Astyanax mexicanus: one gene and its partners. The protein of the gene in region 1 interacts with the protein of each later gene in a pairwise test. Links are inferred from orthologs where the notes say so. Each region holds a gene or a part of one and is shown in the gene's direction. Other genes may lie near its edges. The genes, in order: prkn, tomm70a and rad1.

Evidence for each region.
Region 2: the proteins of prkn (region 1) and tomm70a come close enough for resonance energy transfer, tested with the Homo sapiens proteins (3 studies listed by BioGRID). The link is inferred for Astyanax mexicanus from reciprocal best matches to the Homo sapiens genes PRKN and TOMM70.
Region 3: the proteins of prkn (region 1) and rad1 interact in binary tests that used the Homo sapiens proteins (3 or more experiments, as listed by UniProt). The link is inferred for Astyanax mexicanus from reciprocal best matches to the Homo sapiens genes PRKN and RAD1.

The regions. Positions count from the first base shown.
Region 1 is NC_064414.1:19,273,251-19,280,764, forward strand, and holds the start of prkn (E3 ubiquitin-protein ligase parkin), read left to right. Parts: upstream 1-4,476; 5' UTR 4,477-5,041; coding exon 5,042-5,048; intron 5,049-7,514. UniProt on the Homo sapiens protein: Functions within a multiprotein E3 ubiquitin ligase complex, catalyzing the covalent attachment of ubiquitin moieties onto substrate proteins. Substrates include SYT11 and VDAC1.
Region 2 is NC_064412.1:47,145,783-47,153,876, forward strand, and holds the start of tomm70a (mitochondrial import receptor subunit TOM70), read left to right. Parts: upstream 1-5,018; 5' UTR 5,019-5,033; coding exon 5,034-5,420; intron 5,421-8,094. Other genes in the region: protein SPO16 homolog, read right to left, coding at 396-474, 1,014-1,185, 1,432-1,525, 3,155-3,199. UniProt on the Homo sapiens protein: Acts as a receptor of the preprotein translocase complex of the outer mitochondrial membrane (TOM complex). Recognizes and mediates the translocation of mitochondrial preproteins from the cytosol into the mitochondria in a chaperone dependent manner.
Region 3 is NC_064425.1:16,836,191-16,843,262, forward strand, and holds the start of rad1 (cell cycle checkpoint protein RAD1), read left to right. Parts: upstream 1-4,028; 5' UTR 4,029-4,472; intron 4,473-5,140; 5' UTR 5,141-5,161; coding exon 5,162-5,356; intron 5,357-5,452; coding exon 5,453-5,561; intron 5,562-5,720; coding exon 5,721-5,979; intron 5,980-6,908; coding exon 6,909-7,007; intron 7,008-7,072. Other genes in the region: ift20 (intraflagellar transport protein 20 homolog), read right to left, coding at 42-127, 707-833. UniProt on the Homo sapiens protein: Component of the 9-1-1 cell-cycle checkpoint response complex that plays a major role in DNA repair. The 9-1-1 complex is recruited to DNA lesion upon damage by the RAD17-replication factor C (RFC) clamp loader complex.

The DNA.
Region 1 (7,514 bases):
CAAGAACTGGTGCTTACGTTCTGTTCATTGCAACCTGCTTAGAAATACATTCAGATTGCACAGTCCTAATTTCCAAACCACTTTACAGAGATTTTTAAAACGCTCTCAGCTGAACAGACAAAATAAAATAAAAAAAATGAATTCCATCATTTTTAAGTGCCTAATTATACCCTTCATCCACTCGCAAAAGTATCTGACATTTGAAATCAGAATAACACAATAATAATAATAATAATGCATACTGAAATTCTTAAAATCCGGCAGCACCCTTTTACAGCAAAATGATAATGTTCTATCAGGCTGACATTTCTACACCCACACTGAATCTACACAGGTTTTATATAAAGGTGACACCCTGTGGGACAGGCCAGAGCAAAAGGGGCAAATTAACCTAATTTTTGCTAAATTACTTTGGTCACTTTTTCCATTTGCTTTACCCAGAAAGGAAAATATCACTCCCAGAACATGGAGCGTAGGATCAACAATAAGACTAAATCACGCTCCATTGTTCTTAAAGTTATCTGTTTGTTTTTTTTTCAAAGCTATCAGTTATTTCTGGAAAAGCAAACGTCTGAAATTACAGTTACTCCCTGAAGGGAAAAGGCAAAAAGGGCCAAATATTATAATCTGCCATCTCGCTCATTAATATGCAAATTGAATCGTGTTTAGTCAATCATTTTACGGTGCAACTTAGGTTGTAATATGCCACATCATATTTGAAGAGATGCAGAAAACATTACATTGATGCTGTTTCAATTTGAATATTAATGAGGTTTACATCATTTACCGTTTCCACAGATTTAACAGGTCCATGCATTTATTAAAGGCTGCAGAGCCGACGTCTCCGCAAGACACACGCGCAAACAGGGCAAGCTGTTCTGGGACAGATCTAATCCTGCTTTCACGTGTTAAATCGCTTCATCTCTGAATGTGCTATTAAAATGTAAACACAGATCCTGCACACTGAAATCTGTATGACACTGTGAACCTTCTTTAATAAGATCTGGTAAGCCTAAAGCCTCAAAATGTGGGGTTTGCATTTAACAATGCACTGTGCACAATATACTTTTCTCTAAAGCATAAAAACCCACAGTGCTCACTATAATGTCTAAGGACCTGTATAGATTATATCTCACTGGTTTTATTTCCTGGATTGCAGGAAATAAAAAAATAATAAAATAAAAGTATTAAAAAATACCATCACAAAGAGTCCAACAATAAAAAGTATTATTGGGAAAATTCAGTATATTATCTATAGATCTTAGATAAAGAAACAGCCTTTTTAGGTACAGTCTAGCACATGTGCCATAGCCACCTGGCAAGTGATAAGCTTGTTTACTCAATTTCCCAGCTGTCTTCTAGAGCAACAGTTAGTCATCATTATCTATATTGTATATATGTCAAAAACAAATTTATTTCTTTATATTTTTATATTTTATAAGTAGACCACACTACACAACTTGGTGGGGAGAGTTAAGGGCTGCTCACTCAGTTTACACTCGGCTAGGTCATCAAAATCCGATTACATATTTACTCACTAAATATTAGAACATTTCACAATTAAAAGGCTTCCTGTCATTTAAATGGCACTTAAATTCTACGTTAAACAGTTTCTATAATTTTCAAGCAATAGAGAAATCTAGAAAATGACTTTTTAAGGTATGGGAATGAAAACCTAATGTGTGGGAATGAGATCCTAATGTGTGGAACGAGAAAATAAAGTCATAGCCAGGACTTAATAAGGCGTGGGAACGAGTTAATTCAATCGTAGCCATTAAGGCGTGGCCACAAGATCCTTTTGTTCCTAAACAAAGCAAGCAACTCTCAGGGGTTGTGCTCAATATAACTGCCCAAGGAAGGTAAACAGGTCTGAATACTTTCTGCGTCTGAGCCAATCAGTTTTTAGTATGAGAATTTAATGTGTCTTTTACTTAGATTTATGACATATCTCACTGCAAGAGACTCCAAAATACCACCATAATTAATTCCAAAATGAAAATGAAGAGAAACTTTTTTTTTTTTTTTTTTTTTACAAAATATTATACCTGGATTGGAGCTTTGAAGTAATTTTCAGTCTTCTTCATGGACATTAATTTAGTGAAATGAAAGCTGTATTATTTTCTGGCTAAGACTTAATTATCTCATTCCCACACCTAATAAGTTGTGGCCACACCATAGGATCTCATTCTCTTGGCTTAATAAGTCATAGCCATGCATTTTTGACACCATTATGACACCTTAGGGGTTCCGTGAAATCAACAATACTGCACTGTTCTTAAAACTGAACGTTCTACACTTGAAGTAAAGGAATCTGATGTAGTATATAAACAAATGTGTTCATTTACAATGTACTGTATACATGAGTCTATATACTGAAAACTGAGTAAAAAGTGAGGAAAAAAAATATTCCCAATTATTATTATTGTCAAGAAAGTGTTTAATCATTGGGGAAGCACCGATGTGGGAATTCTGGGCTCTATGCCGATATCCGATATCATACATGTAGATATCTGCCGATGCCAACGCCGATATACACATTTATAACTTACAGAGAGACTAAACACCCAGTATATTTTTATATCTTTAAAAGTAATAAAAAAATCAATGAATTTTAAAGTAGAGCAGCCAGTGCCGGCAAACTGTAGTAGTATGGCTAGCGTTGTTCGACACTAATCAGCCAATACTAATGTTTATATAAAAAAAAAACATTTATTATTGGCAGATACTTATATAATCTCAATATCATCATGCATCCTTATTATTTACACATGAAAAGTAGTATTGCACAATGTTCTGTGATATACTGTACACTCATCATCAAAAAAACTGTTGCAACCAGAGGGAATGAGTGGTCAGGTATGAACGTGGAAGGTAGTCAAGCAAGACAGTCATGGAGTGATTCAGAATGAAATCAACATCTCCATAAAAGTTGTCAGCAGAGGAAAGCATAAAGTGCTGTGGGATTTCATGGGAAAACACTGCACTGACTTGATAAAACACAGTGGATCAACACCAGCAGATGACATGTCTCTCCAAACCATCACTGATCATCAGTAAATTTTGCAATTAATTTGGAAATAAAGGAAGCAGAGTCTGGAGGAAGAGTGGAGAGACACAGTCCAAGCTGCTTGAGGTCTAGTGTGAAGTTTCTACAATCAGTGATGGTTTGGAGAGACATGTCATCTGCTGGTGTTGGTCCACTGTTTTACCATGAAATCCCACAGCACTTCATGCTTTCCTCTGCTGACAACTTTTATGGAGATGTGGATTTCATTTTCCAGCAGGACATGCCATACTGCCCACACTGCCAAAAGTACCAATTGGTCTTATATAATATTCTTATTTTCTTAACACTGATTTTGGGGGTTTCATTGGCTGTAGTCAACAATAAAAGTAATAAACCATTAAAATAGATCACTCTGTGTGTAATACATCTATATAATAGGAGTTTCACATTTTGAACAGAATTACTAAAAATAAATTATCTTTTCAATAATATTCTAATTTTTTGAGATATATATATTACAGCTCTGGAAAAAAATAAGAGACCACTTAAAAATAATGAGTTTCTTTGATTTTTACCAAAATTAAAACCTCTGGAATATAATCAAGAGGAAGATGGATGATCACAAGCCATCAAACCAAGCTAAACTAAGAGTGGCATATCCAAAAGCAGTGTGTAAGACTGGTGGAGGAGAACATGCTGAGATGCATGAAAACTATGATTAAAAACCAGGGTTATTCCACAAAATATTGATTTCTGAACTTTTAAAACTTCATGAATATGAACTTGTTTTCTTTACATTGTTTTAAGGTCTTAAAACTTATTTTTGGTTATTTCAGCCATTTCTCATTTTCTCCTCTAAATAAATAAATAAATGCTCTAACTGACAATTTTTTTATTTGGAATTTGGGATAAATGTTGTGCGTAGTTAATCGCATAAAACAATGATGTTCATTTCACTCAACCATATACCTATAAATAGCAAAATCTGAGAAAATGAACTGAAGTGGTCTCTTTTTTTTCTTTTTTTCCAGAGCTGTATATATTCAATCCCTGTCTTTAATAAAAATGTAATATAACAGTATGAATGGGATTTTTTACAAATGTGCTATTTTGCACTGTGTATATTTATTCTGCCACTGGTTAAATAATAAATTACTATTAAATATATTAACAAGGCAAAATATAGCTTAGCTTAGCTGTATCTGTTTCTGTGTGTTTTAAGCTAACGCTGCTGCTGCTGCTGAAGCGGTTCACTGAGCATCACAGCATCAGTGGAAACCCCACCAAAACAGCAGCCGAACACACACACACCTCCTCCCCCTGCATCAGTGAAAACACACACACGCAACACACAAGCTCTCATTCAGCAGCTTTACTGTCATTTCTAACGTGTAAAATCTCTGTACAGCGCTAACACACGGCTCTGAGCGCGCCTGTGAGGGTGTGAATACTCTGCAGTCTTACATAACTATCAACAGCGTCACTCCGCGCCAGCTGACCCGCTAAACAGTCGCTCCGCGGGGCTTCATGGCCGAACTGAACCGCACCAACACCGGACACTCCCTGCATCATTCCCCGGGTACTGGACGCGATTAAAACCGGAGCTTCAGTCACAAAATCCACATAAATAAGAGGTTAAACAGCGCGTTAGCACCATCTGTTCGCTGCACAGTTCTCCATATCCACAGTTCCGTCAACACACCGAGCGCTGAACGGCACTAGCGGAAATGTAGTGTCTCTCCACATAACTCCCTCTCTTATTTACTTTGTTTAACCTCAATAAATGCTTCTATTTAATCACAAAACATAGAAAACAATAGGTAATTTATATGCTATGACTTGGGATACCTATATTTGCGTGTAAGTCACTTGATCTGTCAGAGTAAACTATGTTCTGGACTCCATTTCCCAGACTCCCCCGCGGTCTCGTACACGCTCAGTATCATGGTTGAACAGTGTTGTGAATAAAGTCACCCTGTGCTGGAGTTGAGCTGAGCGGAATGAGACTCTGCTGCTGCTGAACGAGTCCTCATAATGATCGGTAAGTCATAACTGAAATTCAGCGTGTTTGTGTTTTGTGAGCGCGGTCGGCTGTGTGTCCCGCGCGCTGGAGTTTTATAAAGCTGTGTTTGTGTTGTGTTTGTAGCACAGCCGCTGCCCGGTCGAGTCTATAAACAAAGTGAAGTTAATTATTTTACTACAGCCAGGTAGGATTATCGTGTTCAGGTCAGGACAGGAATGCTAAAACAGCGTTTACTGATAAAACGCCCCCAAAAGTCAGTATAAACACTGTAGGTGCGCTGGGTCGTTGACATTTGGAGCCCGAGTCTCGCGAGACTTTGAGGAAAGACTTTGAACCAAAGGAGAAAAAGCTTATGCTCTTTATGCTTATTTTTACCTGCTTAATCTGTATTTCAGTACATTTTATAAAAAACAACAACTATACTTTATTTGGCTGTGCTAATTGTGTACTAGTGATGTAACTTACTAAATAAAAATATATGCTTAGTATTATTTTATGAAACTGTGCTTTTTTTATTAAAATTAATAAAATTAATAAACATTTTTTATAAAACTGCTTTTACTTAATTTGTTCTCTGAGCCTAAATTTCTGCAACAAAACTGTACTTCAGTGAAATTTGCTACTAAAACATTAATTTTGTGTTGACAAATTAAAAACTCATACTGAACTTTTATGTGATAAAATTGTCCTTAAAAAGTTTACATTGTTTTGCACTATAAGGCGCACTTAAAATTTTTCAATTTCCCCAAAATCGTCAGCGCAACTTATACTTTGTGCACCTTATGTATGAAATTTTCAGTCAGGTTGTAAGGAGCAGTAAAGCCACCCCGCTGAAGCACAGCTTTATACAGGAGTTTTAGGCTGTGACCGAAATGGCTCACTATTTACTAGTTAGGGCACTATTGAGTGTATCAGCCATTTTTCTTAAATCGTAAGGGGGAATTCGAACGTAATTTTGAGGGCACTAAAAACTCCCATAATGCATCTTGATTTATAGTAAACATCGCTTCTTACTAAGCGAGTTAAATGTGTCCAAAAATGCATTGCGGGTCTCGATACTAAGCAACAGACAGCCGAAGAAACTGAGAGGACAGCGAGCCACCACGGTTGCCAGATTGTTACAGTGGGATTCAGATAAAACAAATTCACTGGGTAAAACGTGTTTTAAATCCGCCAAAATACTGAGAAAACCACCCAAACAGCTGATGTTCTTCATATCAACAATATAACAGGGTTTATTCCAACATGATCTTAAATAAAATACCTGAGGTCTCACTTATTACAAAAAAAAAAAAACGATATTTAACTGAGTTTATCTGCATGTTTGTATTCTGTGTTTTGTGCCTTGTATCATTGGACACACGAACCAAAAAAAGAAGTATAGTACATAAAAATAAGCTTGCAAGCAATGAAAGAAGTAAATACTCACATATAATAACAAGCATAAACACAGCTTCAAATCAGCAGGACTAAAAGCTCTGTCTGTCTCTGCCAGGTTAGATTTTTAACTACAGCACTGGTGAGTTCAATTCCCAAACTCTTAGTACAGCATTTCCTCCATAGAATTTCAGACACAACTCGACCTTTGGCATGAAACCACCCAATCTGGCAACACCCGAGCCGATGTATTCTGTTAATTTCAGGTTTTCTTCATGTAATTCAATAATGTGAGGATTATCTTTTAAACAGTGTAAATATACAGGCAGAGAAATGACTTCATGATCAGCTCAGAGCTTCACTAACTTTAATTCATAGATCAGTTCAGTGTGTTTATGGAGTTTTAAACATGACTCAACCCTCTCTCACCTGTGTGTGTGTTTATGCGACCGGTGCTGGGGCATGATAATAAGTTAGTGTCCGAATTCACTCCTGTTTTACCACTACTTAGTGAACTACATAGTGTCTCCCTAAATAGCGCAACACTAATGAGGGAGTAGGGAGCCATTTCGGTCACAGCCTTAGTTTAGTTCTCTGGAGCAGTATTAGCATTAGCCGCTACACTTGCTGAGTGCTAGCTCTTTGGCCGTTCAGAGTTGAGTATTATCGGCCTGTAGCCTGCTGCTAACGCTGGATACCACTGCTGGAGCAGCATCAGCATTACCTGCGAACCACAGCTCTAGCACTTTTGCCGTTCAGATGGGAGTAAACTGGACTGTAGCCTGCACGTTAACCGTATTAAAACAAACTACGTGGAACAAACCGCTAGCTGATATCGCCCTGTCTTACTGGAGCACTCTGGGTTCCTCAGTGTAGCGCTGTCAGGTGGCATTAGCCGCTAACCGCTAATTCTCCAGCTTTTGTGGAAACCTGGAAATTTAAGCTTACTGTAAATAAACGGAACCACTTTACTCACCCAAATAAACAGTTTTTAGCAGAGAAATTTGTTTAGATTAACATGCAGCACTTGTTTGCTTGAATTTTTTTTTCCTTTTTAATTAGTTTTGTTTACTTAGCTTAGCTTTACAGGTCTCACCTCCCAGTGGG
Region 2 (8,094 bases), on another chromosome or scaffold:
TGGTCTGCTAAACTGTTTAGTTTCCATATCTAGCTACTGTATGTTCAGAGTCCACAGCAGTAGCTACATCAGACTGCATTTAGTGTAAATACAATACAACCATAAACCATTTAATATAAACTGACCAAAAATTCTAACACTAATTCATAGGGAGCAAACTCTTGAAAATAAGGTGGCCACTGGAACTAAGGGCATGAAATCTGCAGAATTATTACTACAAACAGAATATGAAACAGCAAAATCAGAGATGATAGGTTAAGTATAGTAATAAAACAATCGCAAATCTTAAGTAGTAATCACTTTGTTATGTTTTACATTTATATGACACAGGTAAACATCCAGTTGCACACAGGTTTTAGTTTGTAACTAAAATTGAGCATTTTGTGTGTACTTACTTTAGCAATGGTTAGTAATGCCTTCACAATGTCAACATTACTGTGGAGGGGTAAAACCTTCAGATTGCTGCCAAAGAATCTGAAACAAGAAAATATGAGTGTGTACAGTCTGAATTCTACATTAACACCCTTTTAATCTCTCTGTTCTCTGGAATTATGGAGTTCCATCCAATACTTTTGGATAGGATGAGAAGGTATATCGACCTTTGTCGATATAGTGTAGGTCAGTAATTATGGTGACAGACGGCGTCCGGCTAGAACTGCCTATGCAAACAGATAAGTGAATCAAGTACAAATTCCATTCCCATTCAATACAGGCCCTTATATTCCACAGATCTTTAGAGTTTTTTAGCTTTCATGGGACATAGCAAAAGTCATGAGATATGACACTAGCTCCTATTTCATACCATGTGGCATTCTGAGTATAGAAGGTAACCATCATATACGTCTTTCCACCTGCAGCTGCTGTAATATTCTTCAAAAACACTTTTTTATTTTTTATATTATATCATTCTGTCCCACTTGAACACTGTAATACTTCAGTCTAACTCAGAACTATAAATCTACAATATTTTACTTAATATGCTCAGACTGAGATAAATTTATGGATTTATGCACCTCTTCTGCACCGTGGACACAATCTCCCATTCCCTTGCACCGTATACTGGGGACTGAAGCAAGAGGAAGCTGTTTCTATGGACCTGTACGAACTTTTCAATCCGATTAAAGAACTTTGAGCTCTCTGACTTCTCTGGGAACTCCTCTGGAGTGATGAGCATGAATGCTGTTCCTGCACAACACAAAATCCACAGAAGTATAAGAACTAAGTATACTTCTTTATCTTCTTCTATTGTTTAATGGATGATAATTACCTGACTCAACTTCCTGTAATCAATCTGAACTAAATTGGAAGCATTCAAATAAATGTCAATGAAAACAAACAGGACCATGGTTCAGCTGATCTGGTCTAAGACATCCTCTATTGGCCATATTCTGATCACTGATGGTGGTAAAGTGTGCTGTAATATAAAGTTACCTGAGAGAGGAAACACCAATGCTCCATGTTCAACACTGTCTGAAAATCGAAGTCTGTGCTGCTGTGACAAGATCATCCATAAAGCTTCATGATTCTGTAAAGAAATGATGCAACATAAAACAGTTTAAATGTCAGAATAAATATGTGTTTACTTGTTAAAGTACATTTATTCCAATTAAACTTTTGGAGCATTTTTTAATAATATCCTACCTCACCCCCCAAAATGCTAAGGAATTTAATTTCCCAATAATTAAAACATATCATTCTAACAATTTTTTGAGATAGAAAAAATCTAGATTTAAAATCAGAGACGTGAAAACAGGAATTACTTTAAATCTTATTTCTGTAACAACTTTTTTTTCCTATAAAGTAAAGGTATCATGATAGTAAATGATATCAACAACACCTTTCAACATATTGCACAAGAAGCTCAGGTACTACTTTAGATCCTGGACTAGCTTACTAAACTACATTTTTCTTTCAACTGACCTGGGAAACCCATATCATTTTACCCATATAAAGGCATCAGACGTAAAGCCCATTACAAGTTAACATTTATATACCCTTTAAATGATGTTGCCTCTATATGGGTAAAATTATATGGGTAGTGCAGATAATTCCTTTTTTTTTTTAGAATCATTGGCATCTGGTAATGTGGCCAATTTACTGGTTTAAGCATTTTTTATTAGTTTCAAAGCTATATAGCTAAGGTTATACTGGGGTGTAAAGTCTCTGTAAGTTATAAATGTGTAAAACTATATTGGTATAATTAATTTCCAAAAAACTACATTCTACAAACAAAGACATCCAAAGAAGCTTTAACAAGCTAAACAAAACTATTACATTGACAACACATCTCATTCATCAACCAACAAACTTAACTACTTCATTTACTTTGTGTGGAGACAGTTTTGTTTACACAAATAAATCAAATTCACAAGAAATACAATAAAAAGGGTTTAACTTTACCACATTACCTAACCTGGGTTATTTTACACAGAATATAGCCCGATGTGTAATAAAATACAGTGTAGTAACATAAATCTGGTATTTTAAAAAATTAAACTTATTTGGTCGCTAACAGAAAACAGAAATAAGATTAAAAGTAATTCCTGTTTTCACGTCTCTGAATTTAAATCTAGATTTATTCTATCTCAAAAAAATTGTTAGAATGATATGTTTTAATTATTGTGATTAGCCCACGATTTTCTGACAGGATTCGATGATTAGTTAGCCAGCTACGCTAAACTAAACTACACTGAGCTACGCTAGGCAAAGATAAGATAAGCTAAGCTACGGTACACTAAGCAAACTACGCTAAACTAAAATAAGCAACGCTAAACTAAGCTACGCTAAGAAAAGCTAAGGTACACTAAGATAAGATACACTAAGATAAGATACACTAAACTAAGCTACATTAAGGTCAACTGCGCTGCACTAAGCTAAGCTACGCTAAGCTAAACTACACTAAACTAAGCTAAGCTACGCTAAACTATGCTAAAATAAGATAAGCTACGCTGTGCTACGCTAAATTTTGATAAGATAAACTACACTAGGCTAAGATAAATTAAGCTACACAACGCTAAACTAAGCTACACTACACTAGGATAAACTAAGCTACGCAATGCTAAGCTAAGCTAAGCTAGGCTAAGTATGTTCAGCATCCCTGTCTCAAACTCCTACCGTTATAAATAACTAACACAGTAATAATAATATTAACCACCTGAAGCGAGGTGCTGACAATAACAGTGGTCTTCCAGGAGCTCATTGTTTTATCATAAGCAATAAGATAAACCCCTCTACTGTTAACTAGCTTAGCTTTTCTTAGCTTAATTTAGCAGTATGTGTGTCTCTCTGTATTAAATATCATTCCATAATCTCTTTAATCTTCTGTGGTAAATTTAACTTCATCAGTCACGTATATCACGTATATAAACTGACTGCGCTTTGACTCTATAAATCTAACCTGCCTGTAAAAAGCAGGATAGTGGTAATGTGACTTATAAAACAGTGAATTATAAAACAGTGATTTGTCATAATTTATCACTCTTTTGTTAGGTTTAAATATTTTATTACAAAGCTTAGACAAATAAACTGTAACTCGGATCGGTGCCGCCATCTGGTGTTGAAGGCTGGAATCTCATCATATTTAATTTGATTTAGTGCTGTTTTATGTTCAAAACATTTTGTAAATAAAATGTAAATCTAATAAAATATATAAAATACAAAGAGTGATTTCCACTAAAATGTCTCGTTTGGGAATACTCTCAAACTGATCAGCATAAGGTTTTGGCTGTACGGTAAGTGGCACAGCAGCATGTTGGGCAGTGGAAGCGGGGAGACTGCGCCCTCTGCTGGTTCAACACAGATTCACATCTGGAATTGCCTTTCTTTTTAAAAAGGAAATTGGTAATGATATATAATACAAACAAACGTGGTTACAAAAAGCATTAGACACTGGAGCACTATTTAAGAAAATAAATACCCAAAATACTGGGATAAAATACCAAAGTAATACCTCAGATACAAGTAAAAGTACATTAAATCTATTTAATTTTTGTTAATCTCTGCTGCATTAAAATAATGTTGATGCATATCGATTCAACATTCAAATTCAACATTATGGTATGTGTTTTAAATGTATTACATGTCTTTTTATGCATTAAACGTAAATTAAATATGCATAAATAAATATGTGTATCTTGTCTATATTTTATTCTTATAGCTTGGACCATAGCGATTTCAACACACGTGAGGTAATGTTAAGTAAAGATTGTATAAAGGTTGTTTTTTCATTGTCAAAATTAAAATATATGTGATTGAATTTATTGAATATAATTTATTATTAAGAAGAACCTATACAATAAAAAACACAGTTTAAAACATACAACAGACAACAATGACATTGTACAGATTAATTAATATTGGCATATTTGATTATTGTTAATACAGATTATTATTGTAATAAATTTTATTTATTAAAAATTATGCTGCTTGCTCTGTAGTCTTAAAAATGTATAAAGAATGCAACTTTATGATTGGAGTTTCCTATACTTTACAATAATAATAATAATAATAATAATAATAATAATAATAATAATAATAATAATAATAATAATAATACAAATATAGGGATAACCTTCCTGAAAATGTTCAGGACTCCATTTTTAAGTCTAGACTAAACTAAGATTACTTGTTTAGTTTAACTTAAAAAAATAATAATGTTATCCTTTCCGCTGCACACAGTCACTTAGCTTTTTGGACAGTGGAGTCTCAGTGCTGCTTTCACTGTTGGTGTGGCTATCCATCCAAATATATTAGACCTAGGTGAATGTGTAACGATTTAATATTAATTTATAAGTAGTCTGACCAGAGGAAAATGGGAACCCCTTACAAATTAGGCCTAATATTACATGTTATAGCACTTGTGACAGTACAGGGTACACAAGAGCTTTTGTTCCTTCCAGGTTTCTTTTTTTTCAGCTCTGATGGAGCCTTCACTGCTTAATGGGGAACACGGATCACAATCGGTGTTTGTTCAATGTTTTGTCTGATTCTACTGTTAATAATATTAATAAAAGTCTGCGGAAGCTGCGTCACCGATGCACCGGAAGTATCTGCAGTGGGAGTCCTCCGGTATCCCAGCATTCCGCGGCTCGCTGCCCCGCCCCCTCCGGTGGTGCGCGTGCGCGCTGCGGGCGGTAAGTGGTGCGCGTGCGTGCTGGTGCCACTGCTTGTCCTGCTGCTGGGTGTCCGCGCGCGCTATGGCTGCTTCGAAGCCCGTGGAGCCGCAGGCCGGGGGGGCGCTGCCCCGGTGGCAGGTCGCGCTGCTGTTCGGGGCGCCGGTGGCGTTGGGGCTCGGCGCCGCGTACCTGTGGTACCGTAGGCGCGCGGGGGAGAAGCGCGCAGGGGAGCGGAAAACCCCGGAGGGCAGCGCGAGCCCCGTACAGGGCCCGCGAGCCGCCGCGCAGTCCGAGCACGAGGACACGGTGAGAGCCGCTTTTAAAACTTAAAACTAACACACCGTCAGCCCGCCCACCCGGTTCAGGTACCGGACCCGGTATTAGCTGCGGCTGTTACTGAGCTTTAATATGAATACGGTGTAAAAGTGTTCCTAATGTTCTGGGCAGTGTGAGCTATAGGTAAAGGTCGCTGCTGAGGTTTATAATAAATAAACATATCAATAAGATAATTAATATTTTATTAACTGACAGTTTTATGTGTTGACAGGAATGACCAGAACCAGCATAAGATCATTCAGCTCTAATTTCTGTTTTTTTAATTCTGCGCCTTTTAACGTCTCCTAACTGTATAAAAGGGATTTAAGATTTTTAAAAATTTTGTTCATGTTTACAACCGTAAGAATTAGTGATGCGGGAATTCTGGTACGATATCAATATCTAATATTATACATATACAGTATATTTATGCTAATGCCAATATACAGAGAGGGACTACACACCCTGATCGTTATGTCTTTATATCTTTATAAGTACATACATACAAATAAATAAAAAAGATCTTAAATTACTGTTTTTTAAAATAGCATGGCCAGTGACAGCCAATTGTATTGTGTAATTTAAGTATATGTTTTATACTTTTTATTTTATGTTTTATGTATTGTGTTTTACTGCGTACTTAGTGTGATAATGCACACAACTGTACACCTGTACTTGTGTGTTGCAACAATAAATCTGATTTGATTTGTGCTTACAAGTCAACTATCAGTTTGAAATATCAGCTGTTACCATTATAATTTCAGTGCCATCATGCATTCCTAGTAAGACTTTACAAAAATCATATTTCCCATCTTTATCACTTTATTTTCACACCCTGTTACAGCAAGCTACACTACAAGGTGGGCAATTTTAGTTGGAAAATTGGCATTTGTTGTATAAGAAATAGTTTAAAGTGAAGGTTAATGTTCCTCTGTATGTCTGTGTAATTTCTTTGTAATTATATCAGTGGCACAAATTAAAAAATATTGTTTATCACTGTTTTTTCTGTGACAATACATATTTCAAACAAAAATAGTTTTGTGATCAATTTCATCTTAATGTGTGTTTAAATTGGAGCACATTGTCCACATTAGAGTTGTCAGCATGGTTTTGTTTCCAGCTGTTTTGATAGAGGTTCTCTTACAGTTGATAATTAGCTGCTGTCGAGTTAATGAGCCACTGTGGCCCAGTGTCCTGCCGTAATTTACTCTCTTTTGCAGTCTGGTGATGTACTAGTGGGTTATTTACCCCTGCACTGCTACTGACGAGTTCAGAAGTCAATAGTTTTTTACTTCTGCTGAAATATGGATTAAATCTCATTACTATCTCTCTTTCTCTCTCTCCCTCTCCAACACAGACACATACTCTTTCACTCATACATTTTTGGTTGAAAAAATGGATAAACATGCCATAGCCCTTTCCAATCTTTCAGTTTCTCTGCTCATTGTGCTTTCTGCTAATTTTCCTGCTTTTTAATTTCCTCATCCAGAAGTCTAAAAAGTTTTTTTTGTTAACTGTAACTTTATAAAGTAAATAGATAAAGAGATGAGTAGCTTACATCATTCCCCAGCTGCTCAGTGGCTGCTGTGGCTTCAGGCTCATTTGTTTGGTCTGCAGCCATGAAGACGGAGCTGATTTTAACACATCCAACACTACTGAAAATACAACGTTAATGAGTGGCACAGTCTGTCAGTTTCAGATTCAGTTTGAAAATCATCAATAACATGCACGTCTTCATTTTTAAAACTTGACAATCATATTTGTTTAATCAGTAAAATCAGATGTGATGTGAAAAGGCTTTAAGGTTACCAAATTTTCTATTTTACCTGTTCAACCCCCTGTTTATCTGTTAACGTGGTGTTTAACAGTAGGAGTAGTTTAGCTGGTTAGGGTGAGATCTGCGCTGTGGTTCATTTCCTCCTTTAAAGCTTCTGTATCTGTGGGCAGGTGCAGTAGTCACACTGCAAGATATGCTGTTAGCTACAGTGATAAATTATATCATGCACAGAATGTTGCATTTGAAAGGAATATTTTCCATGACATATACTCATCATTTTTGTTACTCAGTTACTACCGTATTATTGTTTATTTAATTGACTTCTGGTGAAATCTTTAAATTCCTGTAGTTTTAATGAGAAACGTTTTCATTTTTGGAGTCTTACAGCCCTGGTTATTGTTGAATATAATGGGACTGGTGATGTTGGACGGGTTCAGTGAAAGTTCACTGGGTGATGTTTCACTGACCTTAAAATCAGCTTTAACCAAAACTCTTAACTCCTCCTGACTGACGAATGACTGGATTACACACACATGAACGTACTAGAGCGTAAGAATATCAGCTTTACACGACTGCAGAAACTAGTGGGCGTGGTCTGTCATGGTCTTTCATTGTTTTTTTCCTACTTAAACACTACTTTGTACTCTAGTCTGATTATTTCTAATTAATTATTTAAGAATTTTTCCTCACTGACAGAATCTGTTTCCACTCAAGGGCGGGTATGTCCCGCTGCAGAATGAGTGCAATAAATTTCCCTCAGATCCCTTTTAATTATGTTTATAAATAAGGGTTAATCTACAGTTACAGTAGATACAGAATTGGCAGCACCGCAATCTGTTGGACTGCTGCATGATGCGCCTGCACATCGCCAAGGGGAATCAGATTTTA
Region 3 (7,072 bases), on another chromosome or scaffold:
CAAGTTATCATTAAACTGTCATCTTAATGGCACATACGTACCTTCATTTTTTCTTTTTCTGCTTCCTTGGCCAGTTCATCCACCATCTCAATGAGTCCACCCACTATTTTCTGAAACTGGCCAATTTCTGTTTTCCAAGAAATGAAATGAAATCAGTTTAATTAAAGCTGTTATCTGACAAGTGGTGGAGAGTAAGAAAGTGCACATGCAGTTACCCAGTGCAAACACCAAACCTTTCAACATCAGGGCAACAATGTTAAATGTTTGTCTACTTAATTGATTTAATATATGAAAAATATAGATGCATTTTTAAAGACTGTAAGTTTTTATTAAATTTGTAAAAAGTTTGCAAAAAGTCTTTAAAGCCACTTGGTTCTGTCTCATGGTAATTCATTTCCATCAGTGTTCTGTGTTCAGACTTTAAAGTATTTAACAGGTTATTTTACATGGGATGGACAGTAATTCAAATTGAGTATATATCAGAATGTTTCAATAATGGTGATATGATGTTTAAACACTTGTTGATTTCAACAATCATAATTGTTTTTGGGTACCGTTGTGGACATTCTTGGCAGTTTTTCTACTGAACTGATCTAAATTAATTAATACATTGTGATAAATTTGATTGTGTACATTTTGGCCCTTATTAACATGATAATAAAAGTGTTAAAAGTCTGGAAATAAATTATAATACAGCCATACTTACTGTCAACAAATTCTTTGCACTCCTCTTTAAGCTCTGTGGTCTTCTGACCAACATCAGGTTCAAGTATTCGTAGCTTATTAAGTTCATCGAAGTGAAGCCCAGCTTCTGCCAGTGGATCTTTAGCCATGACCTGAGGCCAGCCAATCACTGATTAGGTCCAACTGTTGAGAAGCAACAGAAGATTACAGTCTTTTTAAACTGTGAGTCAGTTGTGAGAATAAATGTAAACTTTTCTTTTCTTTAAGGTTTAAACTGATGATTAAAACAGGACTTAATGAGACATATGGTACAGATCAACTACAGTAGAGAAAAGTAAAAAAGTTAAAAAATAAATAACACTTAGAGACATTTGATCTGATTAGTAACTAATGTTATGGGCAGGTTTAAATCTCTATAACATAAAGTATTATACGAAAAGCCTTTATTAATCCCACAGCAGGTTAATTCACAATGTTACAGCAATGCAAGGGACAGACAGAATTGTCAGGAAAGAGAACAAAAGAGAACATAACAATAATAAAAATTATAGACCTAAAAACAGATTAGATAAAGCATGGTTACCCATCTCTTATGATAGGCAGTGACCAATATTTTTGTAGATAAGCTGACAGTAAATAAATATACAATTCAAGTTCTGACTACCAATAATATAATGAATATAATAAAATATATTTTTATTAGTAATCATTTTTCTGTTACTAATAACTGTGACAATTATAGGCATGTATACACTGAAATACTAGTACTTCAGTGTACTAGTAACATTTTAATTATAGATAAGAGATAGTAAAGGTCATTGTAAATGAATATTGTAAATCAATAGTAACACATGACAGGTCAGAAAAGCTTTATAGATCTATTGATCTGTAGATCTGATATTATTACTAGTAAACATTTCATAGGTGACATCTGAAATAAGTAGATTCTGTATGAGTTAGTAAAATCTGGTGTCATCTTATACTAGGGGTGGGCAATATGAGCCTAAAATTATATCAGGATATTTCAGGATAACATTATTTTTGGGGATATGACAAAACAATAAATAAAATAATAAATTTAAGAATACACTACTGCAAGAAAATTAATATTAAAATGTATTTGCCAATATAATTGTATACCATATGATATGGTGCACCCCTAATTGGCATTTTTACCAGACTGTAATAGAAGTCAATGATGCAACATGTCATAATACTAATAATGCACTCCAAATATCTTCATATATCTAGTAAAATAAATAATATTGGACAGATATAATCTGTCTCTAATAGACTTTATTGGGAAATAAGACCTATGGGAATTTTCCTTTTACTGAAAAAATCACAAAATTGTACCATAATGCCCATATGGCCCTAAAATTAAATAATACAGCTCTGGAAAAAAATAATTGACCACTTAAAAATTATTTTCTTTGATTGATTTTAAAAAAATTAAAACTTCTGGAATATAATCAAGAGGAAGATGGATGAACACAAACCATCAAACCAAACTGAACTGCTTGAATGTTTGCACCAGGAGTGACAAAGTTATCCAAAAGCAGTGTGTAAGAATGGTGGAGGTTTTCTTTAAATTATTTGAGGTCTAAAAGCTCTGCATCTTTTTTGTTAATTCAGTCATTTCTCATTTTCTGCAAATAAATTTTCTAAATGCCAATATTGTTATCTGGAATTTTGGAGAAATGTTGTCTGTAGTTTATAGAATAAAACAACAATGTTCATTTTACTCAAACATTTACCGATAAATAGCAACATCAAAGAAACTAATTCAGAAATTAAAGTAGTCTCTTATTTTTTTCCAGAGCTGTATATCAGGGTATTATCTACCACCTATCTTAGACTATTTGTAGGTTATCTGAGCAGCTGGGTGACATATGGCTGCTGATCAACTGGTGTTGGTATAGTGAGGATTCCTGATCACATTAAAACAGAGTATCTAAACGGAACTGACTAAACTGACAGCCTGTAAAGCTGCAGTTTCTTAGCTCTGCTCTCTGATCCGCCGAGTTTAACATCAGTTTACAGAGCTTCTCTCACAACACAACAACTCAGCTAATCACAACAATCAGCTAGCGGGGTTAGCAACGCAGCTATCGAGTAAACCCACCACAAAAAACACACTGTATTTAACATTATAAACCGCTTTATTTACTATAGAAAGTGAAGGAATCTCCACACATACCCGCTAAGCTGAATTAATGGAGATATGCTGATCTCGCCGGTCTCTTCGCCGTTTTCTCCGCTCGCCGCTTCTCTCGGTTATGTGGCAGAAAGACTCTCCAGATCAGAGATTCTCTACTGAGGAGAATTCCCACTACAGAACGTGTTCCGGGTTCATCACAGCACCAGAGGGCGCTCAAAATCATAGTTTATGTTTAATATGTCTAATAAAAATCATACTAAAAATATGTTAATTTCCTCAATACAGAACCATATTTAAATAATGTTTAACGCCCTTTATTGCCAGTTACAAACCTTTTAAATGTGTTATGGACGTCTTTGTTACCGCATAAGCTTGCTAAACAGTCATCTCACTGTAACTAGAACAGTGCAATGTTTACCCGTAATTTTCAGACCATTTAAGGCTAAATACAATTTCCCCCCACATGCTATAGTAAAGGCCATTTTCGTTTTACATTTCGGCCTTCCATAATCTAAAATTTCACAACAAAAAAAAGAAATGGACCTTTACAAAATTTTAAATCCAAAAAAAGGTAAAAAAAAAAAAAAAAAAAAAAAAGGTAAAATCCAACCTTATAATACTAGATGAAAAATTAAAGAATTGAGTAAAGGTTTATTTTTTCATTTTCCCTAAATTTAAGATTTCTTTTTATTAAACCCATTTCTTTTTATTAAACCAGATGGAAAAAAATGAAATAATGAAAAGTAACGCCCAATTCTTTATTTTTTTTTATTATTTAGCCTTAAACAATCATAAAGTGATCAGCATTACATTGATGCATGCAATTTGTTGTCCAAAAATATTTGTTGTAATAACGTAGAAAATACGGGTACGTTTATTTGCTTGATTAACAAATTTATTCAATTAGTCAATTTACTTTTTACGTTAATGTAATATCCGGGACACGTAGTTAATTAATCATTTTAATTTGAGTTTTTAGCTGTTTAGCTCCATTCACCCCCATTCATTTTGGACTCCCTCGCGGGCTCCCTCTAACGATTTGCACTTATTTTCTGATATAATTAGAAGTGGGCAGGCTCTCCGTAAACCGGCTCTGCTCCAGATGATGAGATTCCGTCCCCGCCCCGAAGAGTCTCTGCCGCTGCCACGGCGACCGGCGGATCAGTGCACTGCCCCGTTAAACCGGGGGCCAAAACAAAACAATAGATTTACGCGTTTAAAAAATGTGTTCCTATAATGTATATAACACTTTATTTTGTACTATAACTCTATTAAATGTCTGTAACACCAATATCCCATAATATATGTTCCCTATTTTACATTGCCCACAGCATTCACACAGTGCTGTGTTCCTGGACATTCAAAAACGTCCCAAAAAAGTATTTATAGACTTAATAGTATTTATACAGATTTATTCAAGGCCTTTATACGTATTCTTTGGGAATCATATCAAATCCATTAAAAGTTTTAGTAGGACTTTTATTATGAAAAGCCTCCCGGTATCTCCAACACTGCAGGGGGCAGTGGAGCTGCTGAGAAAAAACGGAGAAGAAGAACACGAGCAAAACATTCAGCGCCACAAATCAGCCCTCTTACTGAAACTACATGTAGTTTAATACACACTGAGGTAAGATCTAAAACTGGTTATTATTTCGGCACACACACACAGTTGATGCAGATATTTGGTGGAATAACGCTGTTTTTTAATCACAGTTTTCATGCATCCTGAGTTAATCACAATTTCCTTTGGGTTTTTGGCCATTTTTGACAGGCTGCTCAAACTGTTTTAAAAGTTTCCTGAGATCACTTTAGTGTTGCTGTTTAATGTTTAACAAATGTCTAGCTAACATTAGAAGTTAAATAACAATTAACAAAAATGTTTAGCTTGCTACTGCTTTGCTTTTAGTTTTTTTTTTTTATATGAGTAGAAGTAGGTAGCTAACAAGCTAATATTAATGCTTTATGTGTTCGACAGCCCAGTGGGGTGGAGCAGTATGTCTGTGTTAAAAACTGCAATATTATTTTTTTGTATTAATTATCTATTAATAAATAATCTATTTATATCAATAGGGCATTTGTTAATATTGTACAGCTCTAACCTCAACCCCTACATTTAGTGCCAGGAAAACAATTCAGTCTTTAAGCATATTTATATAAATTTCAACAGCCATGTTTTATGGTCCTATTTGATTTACCAAAAATATGCTATTATATGGTAAAATATACTATGGACATAAATATGGACCCTGGACTACAGAGTCTCAGTTTTAACTATCTTCTATAATGTCATTGCAGGTGTTTTCTGTGATCAGAAGAATGCCTTTGTCAACTCAGTCTCAACCAGAGAATGATGAGTACATCCTGATAGCTAGTTTGGATAATGTGAGAAACCTTTCTAACATCTTAAAAGCAATATCCTTCAAAGACCATGCAATATTCAATGCGACGCAGAATGGGTTAAAAGTAACCGTAGAAGACTCCAAATGTCTTCAAGCAAATGCGTTCATTCAGGTCAGTGTTCAGAATGAGACATTAAGAATTCTCAAAAACACTCAGTTTTAAATGCATTTTGACTGTAATTGATTGTGTGGTTTTCTCATCCTGCAGGCAGACATTTTTCAAGAGTTCACACTTAAAGAGGATGTGGTTGGGTTTCAGGTTAACCTAACTGTGCTTCTGGATTGTCTCACCATCTTTGGAGGAAGCACAGTGCCAGGCACGTTTCTATGATAAATAATGATTAGATATAATAATGCACTGTTAGTGTAGTTGCATCACTGATTGAGCTAAAACAACATTAAAAACATATTGTAATTAAACTGTTTATGATTTTATCTTGATGGATCATACATTCTCTCTCTTTAAAAAAATGAAGGAGTGATGACTGCCCTGAAAATGTGCTACAATGGTTATGGCTATCCATTGACCCTGTTCCTGGAGGAAGGAGGAGTGGTTACTGTTTGCAAGATTAACACCCAAGAACCAGAGGAACCCTTAGACTTTGACTTCTGTAGCACCAATGTGACCAACAAGGTCATACTTCAGTCAGACAGCCTGAAAGAGGCTTTCTCAGAACTGGACATGACCAGTGAGATCCTGCAGCTAACAATGTCACCCAGTCACCCCTATTTCAGGTACAGAAACACTATGCCTTGTCTTATTGGCAATGATATTGACCAAGAGTGGGGGACATTTTTGTGTCTTACATACATTCAGCTCGATTCGGACGTGGGCGATTCTGTATCGATTCATAAATGCTAAAAATCGATTTAGACTTGCCAACATGTACGAATTTTGCATGCATGTTCTAAAATACGCATAACATTTGATCTCGCATTTCCCTGATGTTCTCCTTCCCTGTGTGAGTCTGTTTTCTGCCGCTCACGCTGTCAAGCTGGGTTTTTTTTACTACGATCATTAATCCAGCAAGCTACCTATCAAGCCATCCGCTACTTTCCTCCAAACTGTCGATACACCGTCACTATGCTGAAGGCACTTTTTTGTACTAATCATCTGGTTAATTAAAAAAAACTATGCTTTTTTAAGGATATATTATGGATCATTACAGATGCTCTACTTCATTAATATTCATACAATGAGAACAAATAAATCCTGTATAAAAGAAATAGATGCATCAAGACGAATCGAGAAACGTTTTATAATCTAATCGCAGACCTCTGAATTGTATTCAAATCGTAAGGTGCCTAGAGATTCCCACCCCTATTATTGACCTATTATTGATTTTGTTGACAATCTCATTAGGTTAGATTTGTGCATCTGGATAAAAACTAGCCTGTTATCTAATAAACATGTTTACATCATGGAATATTTTGGGCCCTTTAAAAGTAAGTATGGGCACATAAAAAAAAGATAAAATAATAAAAATTATGTTTTTTTCATGTTGCATTATGTTTTTTTATGTTGTATGTATAATAATTAGCCCTGTTTAACTAGTTGTTTTCCAAAGCTTTATCACATTTAAAACACTGCCTAAAACTCAATACCATATTATATTACTAATATCAAACAATATAAATAATTAATTTGATTGTTTTCCCCCCAGATTGTCCACATTTGGAAATTCTGGAAATGCCCATTACGACTATCCCAAAGACTCTGAAATGATGGAGCTGTTCCAGTGTACAAAGACACAAACCAACAGGTAAGAAGACCAAACTTTGTAATGACTAGAAGGTTAATTTCCAAATTAAAATGATCAAATCAGAT